Kluyveromyces lactis: one gene and its partner. The protein of the gene in region 1 purifies or fractionates together with the protein of each later gene. This does not show direct contact. Links are inferred from orthologs where the notes say so. Each region holds a gene or a part of one and is shown on either strand. Other genes may lie near its edges.

Region 1 (4,034 bases):
GGTGCCAATATCGTCAACCATGGTAGAGGTGGTGTGAAGACAGCAAGAGATACAGAACGTGAACGTGATGTTCAAAGATTCGAAGAAGAAAATTTCACTAGATTGAACCCCAACGGATCCAAGACTGACAAGAGAATGAAAAAACAAAGAGAAATCATGGCCAAGGTTAATATGATCGCCGGTGAAGATTTCAGTATCTTCAACTCCAAGCGTAAGTTGGAGGATAGTACAAGCAGAAGAGGTAATAAGAAATCTAGAAATGCTTGGGAAAGAGCCAAGAAGAAGTTGTAAACCTGAGGTCCTTCTTTTTCTATGTATAAATAGGCTAAAATATCCATACGTCTCTATTGTCATCATATAGTGTCAAATACGTAGTTTATAAATCGAATGATAACGGTGTTGCACTGCTCAAACTCTAGCTTTGATGTGGTTTGTTTCGTTTCGTTTTGTCTCGTTTTCTTCATATCAAGGTGTAATCACCAATAATTAATTAATACAATCTAAGCGTTCCAACTTTGCAAGATATAATCACCACCTATCACCCCTACTAATCTCCTACCAGCGTACAACTTCCAGCGCCCCTGATGAAGAACGAATACACCAGAAAGAAAGTCTCAGCAAAGGATAGGAAAGCATGTCTGATATGTGGTAACCCTACAGTCACAGTTTTGTTCAATGGAAGCGGACCTGATTGGTTTTATACATGCGATATACATCTAGTTGATAACCCGCAGTTTGTACAGCCTCTATACCCAAAAGAGTATCACGAGTCTCTGGTTAGTCTTAAGCCACTCAAAGAACGCATAGAGGAGCTACAAAGGAAAGAGCGAGGTACCTGGGATCAATGGGTTAATAAGATCTTTGACTCTAAAAAGCCATCATCATCTGATGATAAGAAAGAGGACAGGGATGACGCGAGTTCTGACGACAAGAAGAAGACCGATGAAGCAAACTCACTTGAAGAATTGCAGCAAACGTACCAAGCGACACTTGATAAGCTAGCTGCATCAAGAGAGACGTGCAATAGATACACTCTACACGACCTAGTATTCCAATCAAGAGTCGACAGACTACGGAAACTGGCTCAATTAAAGGAAAAGAAACGTGTAGAGCAACAATCATACACCAACACCGACCCCAATCAACTATTACAATCGTTTTCGTTTCCTGAAGTCCCCAAGAACACCGTTAACAAGTCATGAGAGGACGGCCTAATATGCCTACCTCTTATGTCTTTTGTGCAATTCTATATCACGTGATTGATATCACGTCAAAAAGAAATTTCTGATCTTTTCAACTTTTCAATGAAAAGCTTTAAAGAAGCAGGACATAGTTAGATCCCATGCGATGAGCTTCAAACTAGAACAGAATACTTGCTGGTTTCAGGCGTTTCATCTCTGGTTTTTGCTATTTTAAATAATTTTGAACTTTAATTCGATACGTGCTCTAAAAAAAGGCTAGGAACTGTAATATCATGGCTAGAGTAAGAGGTAGAAAGCTAATAAAAAAGCTCAAGAAAGATGAGTTCCATCCAGAAGACAATAAAACCCATGATGAGCCTACGGTTAGCCATGTTAATGAAACTGCTGGGGGTGACAATAGTGATGTGAGTCCTAATACTTTCTTTGGTGTCCTAGATTCTGGCGAATTGGATTATTTTAAGAAGGCTGAATCCACGTTGGCTATTGATACATTTGAGAATCCAGATGAGAAGTACCAGTTTATCAACAGTGTCATCGAGGAAAGTAAGGGTAAAGAGTTGAAACTTGCTACGTCTCAGATTTCTTCTAAGCTAATGGAACGTATTATTATGGAAAGTGATGAAACTCAATTGAAGACTATCTTCAAAGCTTTCAATGGGTTTTATTTCAACCTTGCATGTCACAAATATTCCTCCCATGTTTTAGAGACTCTATTAGTCAGAGGTGCAGCACAGGTGGAAAAAGAATTGTTAACACCTGATTTTGATTCTGTTGATGAGGGTGAATTCGTTACTACTGAATCATTGTTTTTGTTTTTGACTAACGAGTTGCAACCGAACTTAAGGTTCATGGTGAGCCATCAATATGCATCACATGTCCTTAGAATTTTAATCTTAGTGCTATCGTCAAAGACTTTACCAAGTACTGTACAGAACAATTCAACATTACGTTCCAAGAAGTCTAAGATTGCACGTAAGATGATTGACATTAAGGATAACGATAACTATAACAAAATATTCAAGACTCCCGATTCATTCAAAGTTGTTCTTCGTTCTATGTTATCTTCAATCTACACTAGTTTCACACATGGTATTCCACAGGGCTCTGGACACTTTTCTGAGATTTCTCTCGCTGACGTTATGAAATTCAGGGAAATATGTGTTGATAAGATCGGGTCTCCAGTGATTCAATTGGTAATACAAGTAGAAGGTATCTTCGATAGAGACAGGTCATACTGGCATCTAATATTCAAAGATTCTGATGAGAAGGATCCCAAGGAAGAGTCATTTGTGGAGTACTTACTATCAGATGCTGTTGGATCTCATTTCTTGCAGAATGTTATTGCATCAACTAGAATCAAGTACGTGGAAAGATTATACAGATTATACATGAAGGATAGAATTCCAAAACTTGCTAAAAGAGATACAACTGCTGCATTTGTGTTGCAATCACTTTTGAAAGTCTTGAACTCTAAGGAAGTCAAAGAGATTATGGATGAACTGGTCCCAGACTTGAGCGTTTTGTTGAACTCTAACATGGATTTCGGTACTGAAATTATAGATGCCAGTATCCGTCATGATAATTATTTGAGGGACGAAATCATTGAACAATTAATGAAGAAATACTATCCTCGTGAGTCATCTGATAAGAACATCTTAGAATCTTGTCTTCAGTTAAGTTCCTCTACCCTTGGTAACACTAGAGATGACTGGCCAACTGCTGAAGAGAGGAGAAAATCTCTATTCTTAGAGAAGTTGATTGATTACGATGATTGCTTCCTAAACAGTACCATTGACAGTATGTTGAATCTTCCAGCAGAAAGACTTTTGCAGATGCCATACCATGGTGTGTTTTCTCACGTTGTTGAACATGTTCTACAGGTTAAAAGAGTTGCCATCATCAAAAGAAAACTCTTACTCAATGTGTTATGCAAAGATATCGTAAACTTATCCTGTAACGCATATGGTTCCCACATTGTTGATAAACTATGGACATTTACGGCTAAATTGGCTATGTACAAGGAACGTATAGCAACTGCGTTATGTGCAGACTCTGAAAAGGTCAAGAACAGTGTTTACGGTAGACAAGTGTGGAAGAATTGGTCGCTTGAACTATTTGTAAGAAAGAGATACGACTGGAAAAAAATAGTAAAAGAACAAGAGCTCGAAATGTTCCCAGATTCTAAACCTTTACAACCAAAGACCTTCAAGCGTCCTAATAATAACAACAATTCGGATGTTTCACCTTCTTTCAAGAAGAGCAAGTTCCAGAAAAAATAATCATGAAAGCATGTACTTCAACATATCAAAGTAATCAGTTGTAAATTATATATATATACATAGATATAAACAACCAAGTCACGTACACAGACGATAGTATGTATAGTTATAACTCTACTCCAGTCATTTGTTTTTTTATAACATTATCTTTTCTCAATAAAAGTTTACCAAGTGCCTTTGGTTCTTCTATTATTTAACCCTAAATATCTTGCTACAGTGTCAAAGATAACATCCATTTCTTCTTTAGTGTATTTTTTTAGTTGGTCAGCCGCAGTAGCATCTGTAAATGTAGGAATTGAAACATCCTCTTCATTACGCAAGCCCTCAGTGATTGCTTCAAGATCAGATTGTGGGAATGGCAATACGCCATAAAATTCAGCTACCTTACATAAATCCAAATCCTTGATATTGCTGAACTCTTGTACCGTTTCCGGTAAAGGAATTTTAAGATCGATTGGCAAATCGCCGTCAGCGTTAGGTAATGGACCGATCGCATCTGCTGGGTCTCTTTTATTATTGTTTGCTACTCTTCTTATTGATCTTTCCTCAAGAT
Region 2 (4,348 bases), on another chromosome or scaffold:
ATAGCGATAGTCAAAGCATGACCGATGTGTAAAGAACCAGTAACGTTTGGTGGTGGAGCTGGAATAGTGAACACACCTTCTGGCTTGATCTTACCGTCCTTAGTGAACTCTGGTTCAAAGAATCCAGATTTGTTCCACCATTCGTACCAAGAGGATTCGACATTGGCTGGATTGTAAGCCTTCAAAGCTGGATCATCCAAGGAAACCAAGATCTTCTTTTCACCTGCGACCGTCTTATCCACAAATTCAGGGATTGGCTCCGTTTCCTTCTTCTTCTTTTCCTTCTTGGCTGCATTCTTGGCTTGTCCGGCTTGGTTCTGTGCTTGCTTGGCTTGCTTGGCAGCAAATTTCAATAGTTTCTCAGCCTTCTTCTTCTCCTTCTCAATCTCCTTCGGACTCTTTTGAGTACCATCCTCCTTTAATGGATTGATGATGATCTCGCCAGTCTTCTCATCGACTTGTGGTAAGTCTTGCTTTGGCTCAGTAGACATTTTTCGAATAGTAATGCTCAACGATGACGTGGGCAGCAACTGAGTTCGTAATAAGTTGAATGTACGCGTTGGAAACAACCTCAACATTAAGTTGTAACCAAAATAGTAACGCAACAAACAACTAGGAGATCCGTAACTGCCATCATCCGATCATGTTGTCATTAGTTGATCAAATTCTTAATTTCAGTTCTTGGTTTCAATGTTGGAAAATTTTTTGTCAGTTGGCACTGAGAACTCTGTACAAAGGGGTGAAAATAGAGATAAGGAAGGGGGGGAACCACGGTCAATAATGGACATTTACCAGTGTTATAGTGGTTGGAAGGTACTCTAGTGTTATGAGTCTGTTTTTCAAATGTGTAACTGAGAATATTCTTTTCAAAAGAGCTCTTTTTAGCGCATTTTATGCAGGATAGTCGATTTAGTCATAAGTGTCAGTGACCGACAGTTAATATAAAGCTCGAACAAAGTGATTGAAATGCAGTCAATGGTGATGCTAGGTTAGTTATTGTAGATATTAAGTAGTCTGCTTGCCTTAAATCACGATTTAACATTCGAGCTTTGGACAATGAGTGGTAAATAAGGTCGGATTTAAATTCTGACGTTCGATGTAGATACAGAACGCAAGTCAATACAAGGGCATGAAAAGATCTGGAGGAACAATTTGGGTTGAGTGATGGCGTGGAAAGGGTTTGAGCAGCCCTGGCGATTGTTTAAGCCTTTTTGATGGACGTGTGGCCCTAGTTGTTTATCACGTGACCGTATTTCTTTTTCTAAGGCATCTGGAAAATTTTAGCTCATCTCATCTCATCTCATCACCTCTATAAGACAAGTATTACTGTGTTTGCAGTGGGTGTAGCCATCCAAATCAACCACCTATACCAAGTTCAGCCAGACTTTAACCCAGAAACCAAATATGTCTCGTGTTATTGTGAAAGGTTTGCCGATATATCTCAAAGAGGATCGTCTAAGGGATTTGATTGAGAAGAGGTTAACTCAGAAACATCAAAGTACCGATGTCCAGTCCTACCTCAGTGATGTTAAGTTGATGAAGAACAGGGATGGTGAATCCAGACGATTTGCATTCATTGGGTTTCGTGACGAGGAGGACGCTTTTGATTGTGTGAACTATTTCAATGGAACTTTTGTCGATACCTCCAAGATCGAAGTGTCGATGGCTAAGAGTTTTGCTGATCCTAGGGTACCTCAGCCCATGAGAGAGAAGAGAAGAGAAGCGTTGAAGAGGCTCAGAGAACGTGAGGAGTTGCTTCTTGCGGATAAGAAGGACTCTCAGAAAAAGCAGAAATCAGACTCCAATAATGACGGTGGGAAGAAGCACGATATAGATGCTGAGATAGCCAAGAACAAGCAACTACAAGAGTTCATTAACACGATGAAACCCTCCAGCCAGGTAACATCGTGGGAGACTGTTCAGTCATCCAAGACTCAGGGTGAGGATGAAGAAGCTGCTGATGATGAAGTTGGTGAAATGTCCTCTAATCCGTTGCTTTCGCAAGCCTTGGCTTTGAAGGGTAATTCTCGCGATGCCGATGAGGATACCGACATGTTCAAGTTACCTGGAAATGAAAGTGATGATGAGTATGTTTCTCTCAATGGTGGCTCGAATAATGCTAATACTGATGAACCTGAACCACAAATGATGAGCTTGGATACGTTTGATACTGCTGGTCCTACTTCCACGGACGATATGGCCAAAGATGAAGCGGTATCAGATTTGGACTGGTTGAAAAACCGTAGAGTCAGAATTAAAGATGGTGCGGATACACCAGTATCGAAACAGCAGCAACAACCCGATACAGAACAACAGCAACCTGAGGAAACTGAAGTTGAAACCAGTCAAGAGTCAGAAGAAGAGAAATCATTGAAAAAGATCAGAGAAACGGGCCGTTTGTTCTTGAGAAATATCTTATACACAGCAACTGAAGACGATTTCAGGAAACTTTTCTCTCCGTACGGTGAATTGGAAGAGGTTCACATAGCAGTTGATACCAGAACAGGGCAATCAAAGGGTTTCGCATACGTCTTGTTCAAGAACGCAGACAATGCGGCCACTGCGTTCGTTGAACTCGATAAACAGATCTTCCAAGGGAGATTATTGCATATCCTTCCAGCAGATGCTAAGAAGAGTCATAAATTAGATGAATTTGATTTAAAGAACTTGCCTTTGAAGAAGCAAAGGGAACTTAAACGTAAGGCCAACAGTGCTCAACAGACTTTCTCATGGAATTCGTTATACATGAACCAAGATGCTGTGCTCAGCAGTGTTGCCGACAAATTAGGAATGAAGAAATCCGAGTTGATCGATGCTGAAAACTCATCCTCTGCTGTGAAACAGGCGTTGGCTGAAGCCTCTGTAATTGGTGATGTGCGGAAGTTTTTCGAAACAAGAGGTGTTGATTTGACTAAGTTTGCTCAGTTAAAGAATAGTGAACGTGATGATAGAGTGATACTAGTTAAGAATTTCCCATACGGTACTACCAGAGAAGAGATAGCAGAATTGTTCTTGCCTTTTGGTAAGTTGCAAAGACTTTTGCTACCACCAAGTGGCACAATTGCCATACTTCAATTCAGAGATGTTCCTGCAGCTAGAGCAGCATTCAGTAAAATTTCATACAAAAGATTCAAAGATGGGATCATCTATCTTGAAAAGGGTCCTTCTGATTGTTTCACTAGAGATGCACAAGGTGATGAACTAGTTGAGTCTGAAACCGATATCCAGAAAGCTACGGCCAAGGAAGCTAAAATTTCAGGAGCTGATCTTCTTGAAGCACAATCTCTGCCAGCAGCTGATAAAGATGATCACGATGATGATGATGATGATGATGACGTTCAAGCAGGACCTACTGTATCCATTTTCATTAAGAACTTGAATTTCTCTACCACTTCTCAACAGTTGACTGAAAAGTTCAAACCGTTTAACGGGTTTGTTGTTGCTCAAGTGAAGACCAAGCCAGATCCAAAGCAGCCAGGCAAGACTCTCTCGATGGGTTTTGGTTTCGCTGAATTTAAGACAAAAGAACAAGCCAATGCCGTCATAAGTGCCATGGAAGGTACTATCCTTGATGGCCATAAATTACAACTAAAACTATCGCACAGACAAGGTACTTCGACCACCAATGCATCATCTAAGAAAAAGAAGAAGAACCAAGGTAAAATTATTGTTAAGAATTTACCATTCGAAGCTACAAGAAAGGATGTTTTCGAATTGTTCAGTTCTTTTGGCCAATTGAAATCTGTAAGAGTTCCAAAGAAGTTCGACAAATCAGCTAGAGGTTTTGCCTTTGTTGAGTTCCTCTTGCCAAAGGAAGCTGAGAATGCCATGGATCAATTACAAGGTGTCCATTTGCTAGGTCGTAGACTTGTCATGGAGTTTGTTGAACAGGATCCAGAAGATGTTGAACAGCAAATTGAAAAGATGACTAGAAAAGTGAAGAAGCAAGTGAATACCACTAAGATCGCCAACATGAGAAATTCTGGTAAACGAAAGATAGATCTTGATGAAGATGACGAAAATGACGGTCTTCAGGGATAAAATTTGGAGATTTTACATTTCAACTTGTCTAGTAATGCATTTAATTAAATAATTATATTCGGTAATAATACTGCTACATATTGGTTAGTTTATAGAATTCTATCTTCAAATAAAAGGCGATTGTGAACGATACTTCTATTGGGTACCTTCTTCGGCCACTTATTTCAAAGTGAAATCGAAATTCTTATATGCCCGCTGGAAATTTGAAACATCTTTCTCTTCTTGTTGTTTGGTTTGGAAACATACTTTGGAGTCCCACATTGTTCTTTTCGGTTGTTTTAATAGGAAAGCAGCTACCCTTCTACCA

The links.
Region 2: the proteins of NOP9 (region 1) and MRD1 purify together in Saccharomyces cerevisiae (affinity purification with mass spectrometry; 3 studies listed by BioGRID). This does not show direct contact. The link is inferred for Kluyveromyces lactis from reciprocal best matches to the Saccharomyces cerevisiae genes NOP9 and MRD1.

What each region holds. Positions count from the first base shown.
Region 1 is NC_006041.1:1,207,744-1,211,777, forward strand, and holds NOP9 (RNA-binding RNA processing protein NOP9), read left to right. Parts: upstream 1-1,474; coding exon 1,475-3,481; downstream 3,482-4,034. Other genes in the region: small subunit rRNA maturation protein LCP5, read left to right, coding at 1-291; VFA1 (Vfa1p), read left to right, coding at 585-1,202; MRP8 (Mrp8p), read right to left, coding at 3,646-4,034. UniProt on the Saccharomyces cerevisiae protein: RNA-binding nucleolar protein required for pre-rRNA processing. Component of the 90S pre-ribosome involved in production of 18S rRNA and assembly of small ribosomal subunit. Component of the pre-40S ribosome required for release from the nucleolus.
Region 2 is NC_006040.1:1,259,553-1,263,900, reverse strand, and holds MRD1 (RNA-binding ribosome biosynthesis protein MRD1), read left to right. Parts: upstream 1-1,404; coding exon 1,405-4,041; downstream 4,042-4,348. Other genes in the region: VAS1 (valine--tRNA ligase), read right to left, coding at 1-578; DRN1 (Drn1p), read right to left, coding at 4,201-4,348. UniProt on the Saccharomyces cerevisiae protein: Involved in pre-rRNA processing. Required for maintaining steady-state levels of 40S ribosomal subunit. Required for the initial processing of pre-rRNA at the A0 to A2 sites, leading to the processing of the 23S pre-rRNA intermediate to the 18S rRNA.